Oryzias latipes: one gene and its partners. The protein of the gene in region 2 purifies or fractionates together with the protein of the main gene of each other region. This does not show direct contact. Links are inferred from orthologs where the notes say so. Each region holds a gene or a part of one and is shown on either strand. Other genes may lie near its edges.

What was found. Proteins that work in one complex are often made in the same cells at the same time.
Region 1: the proteins of prmt1 (region 2) and THO complex subunit 4 purify together in Homo sapiens (affinity purification with mass spectrometry; 3 studies listed by BioGRID and IntAct, with this or other methods). This does not show direct contact. The link is inferred for Oryzias latipes from reciprocal best matches to the Homo sapiens genes PRMT1 and ALYREF.
Region 3: the proteins of prmt1 (region 2) and lsm14a purify together in Homo sapiens (affinity purification with mass spectrometry; 3 studies listed by BioGRID and IntAct, with this or other methods). This does not show direct contact. The link is inferred for Oryzias latipes from reciprocal best matches to the Homo sapiens genes PRMT1 and LSM14A.

Annotation. Positions count from the first base shown.
Region 1 is NC_019866.2:15,369,146-15,374,724, reverse strand, and holds THO complex subunit 4, read left to right. Parts: upstream 1-2,088; 5' UTR 2,089-2,235; coding exon 2,236-2,475; intron 2,476-3,825; coding exon 3,826-3,984; intron 3,985-4,069; coding exon 4,070-4,217; intron 4,218-4,311; coding exon 4,312-4,375; intron 4,376-4,466; coding exon 4,467-4,647; intron 4,648-4,730; coding exon 4,731-4,745; 3' UTR 4,746-5,054; downstream 5,055-5,579. Other genes in the region: mcrip1 (mapk-regulated corepressor-interacting protein 1), read left to right, coding at 9-113, 203-267. UniProt on the Homo sapiens protein: Functions as an mRNA export adapter; component of the transcription/export (TREX) complex which is thought to couple mRNA transcription, processing and nuclear export, and specifically associates with spliced mRNA and not with unspliced pre-mRNA.
Region 2 is NC_019866.2:24,803,903-24,809,328, forward strand, and holds the start of prmt1 (protein arginine N-methyltransferase 1), read right to left. Parts: upstream 3,312-5,426; 5' UTR 3,216-3,311; coding exon 3,189-3,215; intron 2,291-3,188; coding exon 2,195-2,290; intron 2,119-2,194; coding exon 1,963-2,118; intron 1,887-1,962; coding exon 1,823-1,886; intron 1,754-1,822; coding exon 1,611-1,753; intron 536-1,610; coding exon 448-535; intron 373-447; coding exon 257-372; intron 185-256; coding exon 34-184; intron 1-33. UniProt on the Homo sapiens protein: Arginine methyltransferase that methylates (mono and asymmetric dimethylation) the guanidino nitrogens of arginyl residues present in proteins such as ESR1, histone H2, H3 and H4, FMR1, ILF3, HNRNPA1, HNRNPD, NFATC2IP, SUPT5H, TAF15, EWS, HABP4, SERBP1, RBM15, FOXO1, CHTOP, MAP3K5/ASK1, MICU1 and NPRL2.
Region 3 is NC_019861.2:30,567,366-30,572,693, reverse strand, and holds the start of lsm14a (protein LSM14 homolog A), read left to right. Parts: upstream 1-1,837; 5' UTR 1,838-2,046; coding exon 2,047-2,170; intron 2,171-2,699; coding exon 2,700-2,863; intron 2,864-3,863; coding exon 3,864-4,014; intron 4,015-4,249; coding exon 4,250-4,444; intron 4,445-4,903; coding exon 4,904-4,981; intron 4,982-5,073; coding exon 5,074-5,250; intron 5,251-5,328. Other genes in the region: transcription initiation factor TFIID subunit 4, read right to left, coding at 1-1,121. UniProt on the Homo sapiens protein: Essential for formation of P-bodies, cytoplasmic structures that provide storage sites for translationally inactive mRNAs and protect them from degradation. Acts as a repressor of mRNA translation. May play a role in mitotic spindle assembly.

The DNA.
Region 1 (5,579 bases), about 9.4 Mb from region 2:
CTTCTCAGCCTGGCAGTGTGTGCTCAGAGACATCCGATCAACGCAAAACAGTGAGCGTAACGACCGCGGGCCGCAGGAGTATGTGGAGAAGAACCCTAACCCTAATCTACATTGTAAGTTACAGAGACATTAAGCCAAGAGATCTTTATGTTGATTTAGGACATTTTTTAAATGACACTTGTGTTTCTGTTTGGTTTTGCAGCATTTACACCAGTGGACCTGAGTGATCTTAAAAAGCGCAACACACAGGACTCTAAGAAATCTTAGTCTTTTCTATGATGATCCACTTGCTTTTTTTTTTTCTCCACCCATTATTGTAAAGAACTTTTGATTTATCAGCCCGCTGTCAGCAAGAACGTTTGACCCATTGGCCAATCTAACCCAGAATGCAAATCGAATCTCTACTCTGGACTAAAGCAACCTCTGCCCCCCCCCCCTTTTTTTTTTTAAATCCTCAACAAGAACCAAAAGGATTTGGATTTCAGGGAGTTCAGATTCTTCCCACTTTCTCTGCATTTTTAGTTCACAGTTTTCATCAAAAGTTTCAATGAAGGTTTTGTGGTTAAGGCACAAAAAACGAGGACACAAGACTTAAACCCTCTACTACCAAATGTACCCTGATGACTTTGAAAGAAAATATGAAAGGGCTGACTTCTGTTTTTATTTTTTGGAAAACCAATTGATAAACAGTAGAATGATCTCAATGGATATCCTCTTAGTGGGCTTGTTTTGGAAACCAAAATACAATGTGGAAGGCCAACATTTTTTTTATTATTATTATTATTATTATACATTTTTCTTGCCCTGGGATGGACATTGTTGAGTAGTGAATGCAGGAATGCAGCTCTTATCTCCTTCCTCTAAGCCTTGGAAGCAAAATGTTGAATAAAAGACTTTTACAGAACTTCTGCTTGGTTTGACACTCATGTATGTTTGTTATAATACAATGAACAGTAATCAGTGTTAGGCTGTTTTTTTCCTCGGAACAAACGTTAGCTAAAAGTATGGAAAACGATCATAAATAAGAGGTTAAAAACTCCCCAGTATATCCCCCACCCCACTAAAATTCAGCTATTTTTAAATATACATAACTGTATTTGTAGTTTAGCTTTACAGATTGATTATATCTTTGATTTTCACTTTTTTTACACCCACAATTATTAGGAAAGTAATTCTTTTGCTTTTTTTATTAATAACAGCAATACCAGTTTTTTGTTATTTCTTTATAATAACGTGCAATTAACAGAGGTAGAGTTTACAGACAAACAGAGCCATGTAGCTCAGAAACAATCAATGTAGGAAAGGTTTCAATAAAAGAACAAGAGGGAAACTTTCTTTTTTGTTTGTTTTCTAATTAGGTGAAGAAGTTGTTGGTCTTAAAAATACTACTACCTTCAAATCAAAACAATAGAGTTGCATTTATATTTGTTATTTACATATTTCAAATGAATGTGAAGGAAGAATACAATCATGCATTCTCGTGCAGGGTGCTTTTTTAATCCTTATTGTAGTATGAAGAAGAGCAAAATTTTGAATAATACTTTGAATTGCTATCTTTTTATGCAAAATTAATCTTTTGAGATCAAATTAATTTCAACTTCTTAGCAGATTTGCTGACGTGTCTCATCAAAAAGAGATCCAATTTGTATTTATAATATGCATATTGAGAGTTCAGGGTGTTGTCCAATTTAAGCATTCATTATAATAACGTTTCTTGATCAAACTAAGAAAGTTTTCTTTAGGTCATAGTCACATCTAAATAAAAAATCAATTCAATACAAATTTCATTTGAAATATGAAACCACATTTTTGTTTGTTTAAAGAAGTGCCTTAGCCTATTTGTTTTCAATGTAATTTAAAGTCTAAAAGTATTTTTTTTTATGTTATTCAGTTTCGTTATAGAGATATAGTTAAAAGTGTTTGATTTAATGCTTTGATTGCTTCTTTTAGTGTTACTATGAACTGAACACACCCATGTATGGCGTTTTTTAGGAATAATGTTTTAGTTTCCAGTAGAGGGCGGTAAAGAGTTGTTGTAGTTTTTAACGTAATGACGTCAAGAGTACGTGTTCTCCAACCAATCAGCTTTTCTACAGCTTGTGGGCGCTTTTCATTGTGCTTAGTACTTGGACCAGAGAGCGTAAATCTACGGACGAAGAGAGGGAACAGCTTAGTCCAGGGTGTTTTAAGACAATTTAAATCTTTACAGTGCTTTAGAGTTATCGGGGCAGCATAATGGCGGATAAGATGGATATGTCTCTAGACGACATTATCAAGCTGAACAGGCAGAGTAGAGGCGGAGCCCGTGGGGGAAGAGGCCGAGGCCGCGGAGGCTCAGGCGGTGCCCGTGGAGGAGGCCTTGGGCGTCTTGGTGGTGGCGGCGGCGGATTTGGAGGCCGAGGCGGAGGATCAGGCCCCATGAGGACCCGACAGAACCTGAGCCGCGCTAGAGGCAGACCAACGCCTTATAGCAGGGTATGAGAAAGTTAGACGAATGGGCATTGGAAGGAAAAAAACCTTCGTCAAAGCTGAAAATTCCTGGTTTACGTCTTCTTTTCTCCATTTGGCTTGACGGCTAATCACCTAGCTAGTCAAGCCATTAAAATGGTTGCTTACCGCTGAGTTTCCCTTAGAGGAGAGCTCTATAGTTTGTGGATAAGCATAAATGGAGGTTGTTTGCATAATATGTCCCTTCTCCCACAACCTATATGTGTCGCACCACTTTTCAAGAAGAAGCTGCTTGAGGAGCGACTATGTTAGCCACATTGGCTAACCTGCCGGATCGTGAAGGTCTCAGCGCCATTTTGAATCCAACAACCTCGAATACAATTTGGCGTCAAAATGATGTTTTACCCCAAGTGTCGTAATGGTCTGGAAAGAAAAGGATGCCTACATCGCTGAGAAGGTTCCTGCACGTTTTTTCCATTGCTACGGAATCACATTCCTTCCAACGTCCTGCTACATCTTCAAGGCGGCCTTTTGTCCCAGGAATGGCTGACGGGGTTTCTTAAAATCCCACCCAAAAGGCTTTTCACCAAATGTCACATATGGATGGATACGTGGACTCATACTTAATCCCCTCAAATTTCCTTTATTTTTTTTTTTTTTTTTGTAAAAAGAAGCCCAATCTTCACTCCTGGGGTGTGAATGAATATAAATGCAACCCAAACAAAGCCCCGATCAAAATGGCGTGGTTTCAAAATGGACGTCCGCGTACTCCACGCACTAAAAAGGGGGCTATCGGCTTCTTTCCCCCCAAAATGTTCTTCACCTGTAACATCCTAAAGACATTTCTTCATGAAAGTCGAATTGTGGCCTGACAAAGGACTGTTGTGAGCCTGGACAAGCGGCGCAACGCGGGATGCGAGGCTGCTTCTGCCGGGGACCCCCCCTCGTGTGCCTGAGGAGCATGTCGACAGACAGAGCAGTTGGTGGAGTAGCAGATGGCAAGAAACGACGGGGTTATGCTAGCTAGTTTGGGGCGGATTTTTGGTTCATGTAAAGATTTTTTAAAGTTAATGTATGAAAATGATTAGTTTAAATATCTGTCAGCTTTTTGTCTTACTTTACAAGTAGTAAAACATTGAAATTTTCTGTATCAAAACACCAAAATAGCTATTTTTAAATTTGTGTATTTCTGTCTGAAGTGATTCACGTGATTGTAACGATGGGGTGGGCAGGGATCATGGGGGGGTCTGCTGAGCACCCTGGCCGTGTTGGAAGTGGAGCACCTGCTTGCACCAACACCCAGCCGTGTGGACTCTGTGAAAGACAGAGGCAGGGGATCCTGAAGTCAGCAGGTGCGTTCTCTTTCGTCTGTTGCAGCCCAAACAGCTTCCCGATAAATGGCAGCACGACATGTTTGACAACGGCTTCAGCGGCTTCAATGGGGCTGCTGGAGGTGGCGGAGGAGCTGGTGTGGAAACGGGAGGAAAGCTCCTCGTCTCCAATCTGGACTTTGGGGTGTCAGACGCAGACATCCAGGTACAACTTAGCTAGCATATCTGATGGTGATGTTTTTTTTTTTTAATTGATGACTTAGTTTTGACTTTTTTTTTTTTTATCGAAGGAACTCTTTGCTGAATTTGGGACTCTAAAGAAAGCTGCAGTTCATTACGACAGATCAGGAAGAAGCCTTGGAACGGCAGATGTCCACTTTGAAAGGAGGGCAGATGCCCTGAAAGCCATGAAACAGTACAATGGCATTCCTCTTGATGGTATTCTTCTACTTTATTACAGATTTATTTAATTAGATAAATACATTTAAATATTAGTTGATCTTCCCAAGATTAAAGCCTAATTTGTGTTTAGGGCGGCCTATGAACATTCAGCTCGTCACATCACAGATCGACACACAGAGGCGGCCTATGCAGGGGTAAGTAAGCATGGATTCTTGGGAAACTGGAAACAGGCTGTTGTGTAAACCCCAATTACATTTTCTTTGTGTATTTGTTTTGTTTTACCAGTATGAACAGAGGTGGTGGAGGCATGAGTAGAAATCGGGGTTTCGGAGGGATGCAAAGAGGCCGAGGGGTCCGTGGTGCAGGTGGTCCCAGAGGAAGAGGGCGGGGGGGGCGCGGCGGTGCCCCCAAGCAACCGCTATCGGCAGAAGAGCTTGACGCCCAGTTAGATGCTTACAATGCCAGGGTACATCTGTCAAAATAGAAAGCATCTTCTGTTGAAGTTGTTTTGCAGCTGTCCTAATTCTGTTTCACCTCTTGTTTTCTCAGATGGATACCAGTTAAGGAAACCTCCCATCCTAGTTGACGTCATCCCTCCCTGTCTGCACAGAAAGGGGTGCTTGTTACAGATGTGCAGAATATTTTACACTTGTCTTCTGATGTGATTGAAATTGTTCCAACCTCTTCTTTTAAATACTCCAAAGTGTTTTTTACCAAGTGTTTTATTTTTGTTTTAATTTTTTTTTTTTTTTTGATCGAATGGTTTTACTGTAGGTTAACTGCTGGGTGGAGTTTTCTCAGTTTCTCCCAACCCTGTAGTGAATGGAACTTGTAATAAAAACCTGCAGTATATATTAAATAAGCAATGGGTCATTGTTGTTTTGCTTTATTTTTTACTAAAACCAGTCTAAGGTGGAAATATGCTGGTTGTATTTACATGAAAGCTTTTACTACTTTTTAAAATGCATAGGCTAATAAAATTATTAAATGTTTGTAAATTACATTGTCCAATTGTATTTCAAGCAGTTAAAGATCAAATTCATATCTGCTATGACCTGCTTTACCCTGGGGGTTAAATACTTTTCAATGCATTCTATATTTTCAAGAGTTCAGCCACTAGATGTCGCCCTTGTTCAAATTTGATGGGTTATGTTCTGAAATTTGCTTTTGTGGCGGTTTCCTTTCTTCGCCTCTCAGTTGATGATGAAAGTGCACACATGAAACTGTAGGTGTACGTAACTTTTTATGGGACGCTAAAAGAAGGAATAAGTTAATCTAATAGGGAAGATAACTGAACTCGGAAAAGCTGCACCTTCCACCACACTTTCCGGAAGTGTTCCATAAAAGGCTCTTTTTTTTTTTTCCTTCAGCTTCCGGTTAATTTAACTGAAAACAAGA
Region 2 (5,426 bases):
TCAGAAGGCGTGGCGGAGGCGTGGCACACTGACTGGTGGAGAAGCCGATCCTCTTGTGGCAGCGAGTGAACTCGATGTTGAAGTAAGTGACCAGCGCGTGGATGTAGTCGTTCCTCTTCACCTGCAGGCAGAAGGGCGAGGTGAAGGTCAGGTCCTCGGCCTTCACCGTGTAGATGTCCACCTCCTGAAAGGGCAAACGGAGCGTTAGCGGAGCGTGCAGACGTGTGACGGAAGAAGCCCCGCCCACAGGACTCACCCGGATCAGGCAGGAGTTGCTGACCAGCTGTTTGGGATCCACCACGTCTACCAGCGGTTCCTTAATGGCCACCTCCTTGATACAGGACATGTCGAAGCCGTACACGTTCTCCCACCCTGAAACAGACCGCGCAAACGTGACTCCCCCACCGAGACGGAGCCAGCCCCGCCCCGGTCATGTGACCTACTCACAGTGGATTTTGTAGTCCTTGTACTGCCGGTCTTCAATGGCCGTGACGTATAGAGTAGCTCTGTCAGGGAAAATGAGTCCGTCCGGCTTCTGTGAGGGAGGGGGACATGAGTGTTAGGAACACACTCAGGGGTTACATTTAAACATCTTCAATGAACCGATCATGACTGTGTTCACAGCAGAAGCTCCTTTCTAGAGCCACCAGGAGGATCTTTGAGGGATTCCCAGAATTCCAGCCGCCAACCTTTGCCGTCAGCTCAGCTTTGGTAGAAACTTTTATCATTGAAATGTCGTACTTTTGTTAAGACCATTGACTGTTTCAGAGAACTGGACTGAGTAACCCCTCCCTTCTGGCATTCCAAACAGGAAGTGACTCCAAGAAGCCAATGTCCCATAGACGTCTATAGAGAAACAGACAGCTGTTCGTCCTGTGTTCTATTGGTCAGAAGAACCGTTCTGGATCTGATGCCTTTTCCTAACAATCTATTGATAATTTAAATATTTTTTCTGTAGTTCAAACAATAAACTGACCAATCAGAAGCCTCAAAAGTAGGTTGTGTTAGAAACGTTTGACAGATTTTCGTGTAGCCCACTTTAAGTGGTAGGGGTGTGGCCTTCCAACATGCTCTCTTCTGATTGGTTGTCATAGAAACAACTTAGACCAATCATTGCTCACTGACATTGTCTGGCTTCAACATGGCAGCGTAAAAAATTTAATTTTGAACTTTTCTATCGTTTGACGTAATTCTAGGCCTGCACAAAAAAAAAAATCAAAAAACAATCAACATGGCCATATCAACTTGAGCAATCCCGCATTGCAAAGAGGGCGTAAACGTTGACACATATGCACAGTCAGACAAATGTTTAAAACACACCCAACCACAAATTATCTAGTCTGTTCTTGACCGGGTAGATGGGGGCATTTACCCGCTTACCCATCTCCTATTGACAGAACTGGCAGTACAGTTTGTTGACTTATTTTAAAAAATCTCATTATTATATCAATTATATTGTTGTTGTTGTTTGTCTGTTGCAATATTGGTGGCTAATTTTCTTCATGCCATGCAGCTCCATGTCCCGCTCCCTCAGTCCAGGTCTCACATACAGTCAGTGGTTACAGTTACTAGTTTGGAGGAAGCGCTGACGTCCAGAAGGAGACACCCACCAGCCACTTGTCGCGGGCGTAGATGACTGTGTTGAGCATGGACTCGTAGAACAGACAGTAGCCCATCCACTCCGATATGATGATGTCGACCTTGTCCACCGGCAGCTCCACCTCCTCCACCTTCCCCTTGATGATGGTCACAACTAGAGACAGAAGAGGTCAGGACCTTCCCTCCACATTCAGCGGTCAACACCGGACGGCGGTGGACTCACCGTCATCCATGTTGTTGGCCTTCACTATTTTGACGGCGTAGTCAGAAATGCTGCTGCATTCTATCTGTAACGGCAGAAGCACACGGATGAGACAAGGCGCCGCAACCGGGCGCCGCCAAGCCGAGTCCACGCCTTCCTACCCCGATGACTTTCTTGGCTCCGGCTTTAGCCGCGAACATGCAGAGGATGCCCGTCCCGCTGCCCACATCCAGCACCACCTTGTCCTTGAACAGGTGCTTGTTGTAGAACATGGAGTTGCGGTAGGTCAGGGTCCGGACCTCGTCCTTCAGCATCTCCTGCAGGAACAGAGCAGAGGGCGATTGAGGACGCGGGCACCGGGGGCCGCAGGTTTAACGGGACACGAAGGCGTACCTCGTGGATCCCAAAGTGGGCGTAGGAGTCGAAGTAGTAGTCCTTGGATGTCATGTCTTCAGCTGCAGGCTTGGCTGAGCTCTCTCCCTGAGAAACCTCAAAGGAGGAAAAACCCCATGAATGTCTGCAGATCAAAGGAGTCACGTGATCTGGAACCGCCGAGGAGCCGGTCCGGTTCCAGGCAACACAGAAGACAGAGAAACAACCGATCCGTTAACGCTGCCTCAGAGGAACAAAGGACGTGGACCCGATGCCCCATGAGACCACCGGAAGTTAGAGTTATCCTACCCCCCACCCCCACCCGGTAACGTCGGTTCGGTCGTAACAAAGCCACACGTGACGACCAACTTCCAGAACAAGGTTCTGTTGTTGGACCAGCTCAGAGACCGGGACACTCAAGAGGACGGCAGAACCGGTACCGAAGATTCTAGTCTAGTCCGGGATGAAACAGTGGGACTACCCGCTCGCCGGTTTTCCACTCCAGGCTCGACAGAAAAGCTAGTTCAGGTTTCCGGTAAACCGGCACCGCGCGGGTGGAGTGACCCACGTGGAGCTCCGTAGTGGATCACGTTGATCGAGAGTTTTAACGTAAACTCTGGCAGACTAACGTCCGGCGGATCCGAGCTCAGCATCAGCGTGTTAGCACGAGCTGCTAATTAGCCCGGCAGCTAGCACGTTAGTCTCCATGCGGTCCGAAGGCTCTGCCGGTTCCACCGCCAGCTGCGTGCCTGCCGCCCCCCCACCGTCGCTTCAGCGTCGAACCGAAAATACACACCAGACCCCACCGTAAACAAAAGCCAGTTTGAAGAGTTTAACCGTTTCCCCTGTTTTTCTCGTAAATGCGACACTGTGATGAATGAGCGGCGGCAGCATCCGGAAACTCCAGCGCTAACACCCCCTCTACACCGGCGAAGCGCCGCTCCGGAGCCTGCGGGAAAACTCGCGGACGTTTCCTCGAACACAAATGAGCGTTTTTCCCGCTCAAAGACCTCACCTCCATCCTCTCTGCTGGCGCCGCCATTTCGATCTACAGCGAAGAGTCCGTTTCTTCTTCTACTCCGTCCTTCCTTCTCTTCCTCCGTACATTTAATCTGAATCTGCGTTGAAGGCCTACACCGCCACCTACTGTACAGACGGTGGAAATACCGCTTTACCCGTGAGACATTTTTTCTGCATTTTGCCCCTTTTACCACCATCTGGGGCAGGAATCACTAACCTTCCTGAGGGTGAGGGCTATTTTATGGGCTCCACAGGACCTGTTCACTATACATTTACCAACGTTTTCCCAAAATAAACTATAAAAAAATGCTACAAACACTTTAAAAAGACAATTTATGAATCCACTGGGTAATGATAATGAAACTGCTGGTTTATAAAAAAAATGAAATAAAAATATTTTAACAAAATGTGTTAAAATATTAAAAACTGTTAAATAAAGTCTATCTATCTATCTATCTATCTATCTATCTATCTATCTATCTATCTATCTATCTATCTGTCTGTCTGTCTGTCTGTCTGTCTGTCTGTCTGTCTGTCTGTCTGTCTGTCTGTCTGTCTGTCTCTCTGTCTGTCTGTCTGTCTGTCTGTCTGTCTGTCTATCTATCTTTCTTTCTATCTTTCTATCTATCTATCCATGCTCACTGGTTTTTCGTAGAGACTTCTGGGATATTTCTAGGGCCCTGGATTTTGAAATGTAGATTTGTAGACGCACTATATAGTGAAGGGATTTGGACTCAACGATTTTCTCACTTTCACACAATTTGGCAAAAGAAAACTTTTGTTTAAGCAATTACAGTTTTTTTCAGTCGCTTTAGTACAATTGTCAGATCAGAATGAAATTCCCAAAACTATTTGTTCAATCTTCACATCATGATGTCACTTGTGCACATCATATAAGCAGTTTCTCACTTCTTTGAACAAGTTGCAATTGCTTTGGTACATCCATGCAAATGATTATGTACAATTCTCTGCTCTTTGCTACATTATCAATTGTTTATGTCATGTTGATCAAAATGTATTATATAGTTCACTGTGCAATAGTCTTACTCCTCAAAACTCCTAGTCATTAGTTCATCGTATAAGTCATTAACTGCAAAATGGTTGACCAAGTTGTCATAATGTGACAATCATATTTCGCTGCATTGCAAGAGAGGATATTCGCTGTGATGTGGATGAGAATTTGTGGCCTAACATACAGGAACGACAAGAGGTGTAGGAAGACCACACCAATTCCTACTGCACTGCCTGGACTGTTGGACAGAATATTGTCCTATCTTTTTTCCCCTTTGTGTTACTGTTTGCAGTGGGTTTTTTCTATGTTGGTATGACATGGTCTGTCTACAAATTACAATATGAACAATAAAAGTGTAAATGTGAATCTTGTCCAGTCTCTTGCAATCAAAAAAAAAAGGTGTAACTTCCATTTTACAATAATTGTCATCCAAACTTTAGCCATAGTTTCCATCAGAACCTCCCTTTAAAGTACACAGTTATATTGACAACATGACTAAGTCATTTGACTGTCTTGTTCGTAGACAATGACACAAGGACTTGACATTCTGATGGCACTGACATGTTCAATGACATAAAGACTTAGTTTGGAGAGATGAACTAAAGATTTTGAGCAAGTTACAGGCTTTTGCAAGAAATCCATAGTGTTTTGCTGTTTGTACAAATAGTTTTGAGAAATGCACACACGTATTTGCAAACTTCAATTCTGATCTGAGAATTGAAACTGAAGCGACTGAGAAAAACTCTATTACAAAACGCATGCCACCAGGTTAAGTCTGCCAGACCCAAAGTGTTTTTGACCTTTGACCTTGAGATAAAAGGGCTGTCCTCTTAAAATTTCCCTAAAAAATCCCCACTAGTGTACTTTTTACAAACTGAAACTCCTCCTTGGGCTTCTGACCCACCTTCTTCCTCTAAGAATGGACCTGTTCGTCAACCACATAAGTTAATACGTTCTGGATCATTGACTGTTGCAACTTCTTAGTTTACTCACTGAACTAGTAGCACAGCTCTGATGCAGTCACATCCACAGGAACCTGAATTCTCCATCAGCTGTTAGAGTTGAAGAATCTCCTCAGACGAGCAACCAAACGTTTTCAAGAAGTCCGGTTCCCCGAAGAACACAACCCACCCCCGACAGGTGCTCCTTTTGACCGGACCAGCATGGCTGAGCTCTTTTTCAGTTAGAGAACTCTATTTTTTTGCAGAAAGCTACTTTTAC
Region 3 (5,328 bases), on a different chromosome or scaffold from region 2:
GCACAGGCTGCAGCTGGAGTAGTAGTAGTAGTAGTAGTAGTAGTAGTGCTCAGAGGCTGGGTGGTAGTAGTAGTAGTTGCAGCTGCTGTTGTGCTTGTTGCTGGTGTGACAGCAGACGGAGCAGAGGCTACAGTGTTTGTTCCAGAGTGGCCTGGCATGTCAACGCAGGGCTTGTCTGCTGTGGAAGCTCCGGGGTCCGTTTTACCAGGATCTTCCTGGGAAGTTGCAGGATTGACAGCTCCTCCTGGTCGAGTACTTTGCTGCACCAGGGCCGAAACACTGGTGCCGTTGCCGTTCTGGGCAATGCTGGCCACTATGTGGCTGGGGAGTCTCTGCAGAGCGATGGTGGGGGTCCCCCGGTCCAGAGCGATGGCAGACTGACCCACGGGCAGGCTGGCGTTCGACACAGTGAAAGTCGAGGCGTTAATGGAGGACGGTGCCGGTCGGGTGGAGTTGGGGGTGGTCGCGCTGCTGTCCGCGGAGCTGACGCTCTCCTCGGCCGCCGTGTTGTTGCTGCTGCTCCTCCTCGTCGTCACGGCTGCACCGTTCAAACTCTTGATCCGCGCCGAGGCGGTTCTCCTCGGCGCCGCGATGCGCCTCCTCGGCGGCTCTGCTGCCTCCGTCTCACCGGTGCCCGCGGGCGCCTTAGTGCTTCGGTTGGATGCGGTGCTGATGCTGTCTTGAGGAGTTGACACACTGGACGCGGTCAGTGTTGTGATGGATGCTCCATGTGATTGCGAACCGTTGCTGCTGGCGCTCACACAGGCGGGCGAGGTGGCGGAGGGCTCGCCGAAGGACGGAGCACAGCCCAGCGAAGGAGATGTGTCAGTTTTATCCTGGCTAACGTCTTTAGAGTTGATCTCCTGGCGCATTTCGGGTTTTAAACGGCGTCCTTGTTGTTGTTGTTCTAGTGTTGTGATGCTCACTGGAGGTTGTAGCGTTTTTCCTAAGTGGTGATTAGCAGGGGGCACAGAGCCAGCGCCTCCGTTTTCGTCTGTTTTGCCCACCGGGGTGCTTTGTCCAGTAAGCTCTGACTCCAATGAACCCACCAGGTCGCTAACGGCTTTTTCATCCACCTCTGAATAAAGCATATCTTCCAAGGGGTCGGAGGCGCCCGCCATCTCTGATCATTGATAGTCGTCTTCTGTTTTTTTACAGTGCGCTTGCGTGTTACTAGGCATTGTGGGAATGGACCTGACGTCATTAATTGAGCTCCCTGTTTTGGTTCTGTGAATTAAAGACGTTTTTATTCATTTATTCTTCTCTTTTTTTATTCGTTACTTATTTTTTTCATTTTTAATTACGTATTCATTTATGTACTTATGTATTTATCCACGCCTTATATCTACTATCATACATACTTGCATATTTTTTGTTTATTTCCCTTTTTTACCCTTATCATTGTCAATGTATTTAAAACTTTTTTTACGATGTTTTAAAAATAGGTTTCAAAAACACATATTGACCCGTGTTTTATGCTGCTGTAGTTGCAAAATGGTGTACAGAACTTTAAAACACCAGACAAAAACCTTGTTCTCTAAAGATTTGATATTAAATAACAACATAAAAAATGACTAATGGAGTTTATTACAACATAATAAATAAATAATACATCCACAAGATGCTGCTAAATTCTTCACGGAAGTGGTTTTTGCTATTTAAAATAGTTCCAGAAATTCATTTTACAAAAAATATATATTATTAATTACTAATATTTAACTTCACAATCAAAACAATTCATTTTTTAAAAGAGCATTTTAGCGAAAATTATTGGTTGTTCTTGTTCAAGATGCGTGTCGGAGCAGAAATGTAGTTTTGTGAACTACGGCCTTTCTCCCAGCATGCTTAGCGCCAGGGGAAGGAAAATGAAAACGGCCATGTCGTGAGAGGGATCACGGAGCGGGTTAATGTGCTTCAGGGTTACCTTTTGTATTTGTGGTATGTAGGTTTGAAGTTGCGCATCGGAAAGTTGAATATATTTGTTCTAGGTTGACTTAAAGGGCATTCTTCAAAGGTTAGTGGCGTATTTAAATCAGCAAGGCAAACATGAGCGGAGGAGGGACGCCGTACATAGGCAGCAAAATTAGCCTAATCTCAAAGGCCGAGATCCGATATGAAGGAATTTTGTACACCATCGACACTGAAAACTCGACAGTAGCTCTCGCTAAAGGTAAGCATAATCACACACGAATAGATTTTAGCTTTCCAAAATGACCAAAAACGTGGTATATGGTATAGGAAACCATTATGTAAACAATTTTCCCGCAGTTTGCTAGCTTAAAGCTAGCATCTGCTAGCTTAGCTGTGTTGTGGTGCACACTCAGCGTCCTTTGTTTACGTAGTTTTTCTTTTTTTTGAGCACAAATGACTTGTATGAAAAGTTAACGTGGTTTTGTTTTAACCATTAGTTTAATTAAATTCAAATAGTTTTATTTTTTGGTTGTATAAAACTAACAATTTTAATAAAATTAAAGTTATCAGTGACATTAAACTCGCACTTTCTAACTGTTGTATTTAAACTCCAAAAGTCTACTAGTAGCATGTTGAGTATCAAATTAGACTCCAATAAAAAATTGTTTTACATGTTTACAAAAAAAAGTACATAATTACATGCCCTATGCATTTCGTATTATTGGAGTAAAAATTTGTATCTTTTGATGCTTGTTTTATATTCAAATTGTCTCTAATTTTCTTTACAGTTCGGTCTTTTGGCACTGAAGATCGCCCCACCGACAGGCCTATTCCACCCCGGGAGGAAGTGTTTGAGTACATCATCTTCCGAGGCAGCGATATAAAAGACCTAACGGTTTGTGAACCACCCAAAGCCACTAGTTCTCTGCCTCAGGATCCCGCCATAGTCCAGGTGAGCCTTTTGTGTTTGACACTTCTCCTTTGCAACTCTTTTCGCACAGCCCAATGTAGTAAGGGGCCTTAGAGATAATTAGTAACAGCTGGGTTTCATCTACAGCAGTACAGGTTCAAATGACAAGCACACACAGCTCTTTTCTGATCGTGCAATCTACTTTTAAAAGATCTTTATTGTTCCTCTTCCTGCTTTTCATTCCACATAATTTTTCTGGTACTATCCAATATTAGCAATATTAGAATTTTGAAATCTCTGAACCTTTTTCCAGGTTACAGCTTTGAAAACTTAAGACACTGTCCAAAATAGCAAATGAAAAGATGTTTTTTTTAAATGATTAGTTTTGGAATTACCCAGACTCATGTGTAATCTGTTACAATAGTAACACCCTCAGAATCACACTAGCAACTCATGTAGATTATATTTTTTTTGGATGTATATTGAGCTGATTAACAGCACAAGTTGTGTGTAATTTTTTTTTTTTTATGCCCAATAGATATTTGTTTTTAAGATAAAAGGGGCCTCATTGGTTTAGCACATTTTAAGCCACTGTTTGAATTTGCCTAAAATATACCGGTAGTTGGATTCAAATTTTCTACTAAAGAACCTACATCAGAGCTACCAGCCTGTGTGTTTTACAGATGTATCTGTACCGCTTTCTGCTGACTCCTCATTCTGATTGAGTAAACACACCTGATCCAGGTAATCAGCATCAAGACGTGCAGGGAGATGTGGAAAACAGGCAGGGTAGTAGATGTTGAGGAACTACGTGGTTTAACATTGAGGCAAAAAATAAAACCATTTCCATCTGAATATCTATAACTGTATCAAGGTAGATTTTTGTCTTACTGTGGACCAAAGCTTATTGTTGTAATGAACTCCATCAGTTCCCCTTTTCCTGAACAACCGAGTCATTCGTATTTTTGTTGTGATCATGAACAAAAACAACCAAAAATGCCATGGCAGTCTTTAAAAACTGAATCTCTCTTCTTTTTTTTAGTCATCAATTGGATCTTCAAATGCCTCAGCAGCATCCTCATTTCAGTCTCATGGGTCCTATGCACCATTCAGCAGGGCCCCTGTTCCATCATACAGCCAGTTTGGCGTTACTCCCCTTGGACCCCAACAGTTTGGGTCCCTTGGAGCTGGAGGTAAGAAAAAAAGCATGAATACAAAATTTCATGTTTTCTTTTTTTTTATTAAATACGTAAGTATAAAATGAAGGGATCTATAATCTGTGTTAAAGACCTGTTATTATATTGGTTTCTTTACATTTCAACTTACATTTATTTTTCTATTCATGGTATTCAGAAACAACCTGTATATTTTATTTTTTTTTTATTTATTGTGAATTTTAAATAAATCATTTTAAATGTTTTATTGCAGGACGTGCAAGCCCTCCACTGGACTCTTTGATAAAAAGTTCCTCGGGGGAACAGGCGGTGCAAGCTCCACCTGCAGCTGCCCCCGCTCCGCCAGCTCCTGTGGGACAGAGGAGTCAGTCAGGAGTGACTGCTCAAAAACCCACCAGCACCTCCACGGGCAGCCAGAAACCCCCTGACCTTCTGGAGCAGAAGAAAGGTAACAGTAGCCTCCGTGGTTCTTTTAAATATCTCAAATCTATTTAAGAGGTTTAAAAATGGATCTTTTTGATGCAATAAAACCACTTTTGGCAGCATTGTGTTCTGTTGGGTTTCAACTGCCCCAAAAGCGCTGAAGCATCTGCCATTTTGGAATGTGAAATGCTGGGCTTCTCAATAGATTTGTATTTAGATTTAAAAAAAAACTGATCTTTGGATCAGAACCTGGAGTACAGGAAAAGGGAAGAAAAAATCTTTAAAAAATGTTATGAAAATATGGACTAAATTTTAAGGTTACCTGAAATAATAAAAATATAAACCTATGAAGACTCTCATTCATCCAGGTAAATACCATCGTTTTCACCGTCTTCAACTTTAAAAACCAAGTCCAGATGACAACCTTTAAACCTACTACTATGAAAAATATAAACCGCAATACTTCTACTTTGTCTTTGTTCAGCTTCTGTGGTTCAGACTTCACAGCTAGATCACGATCAGGCTGGTGGTGATAATCGAGATTCCAACAAGCGCCAAATGGGTAAGAAATAACACTTAATTATTTTTTATACTTTGTAAGTGGACTATTTTGGGCTGGTTGTCAGAAAATCATACATTTCTCTCATTGGTCAGGTGGTGCACAGCCTAATCGCCGTGGGCGCGGGCGAGGAAATCGCAGCAGAGGCAAACTTAACATGCGCAGAGATGGAACCATGAAGTTTGAGGAAGACTTTGACTTTGAGACTGCCAATGCTCAGTTTCACAAAGATGAGATCGACAAGGAGCTTCAAACTAAGCTAAAACTCAAAGGTAAGACTTCTCAGAACAGGTATTATGCTTTCTGTGCTGTTGTTCTTCAAGGTAGACCTTTTTGCTAGTGTGGAGGCA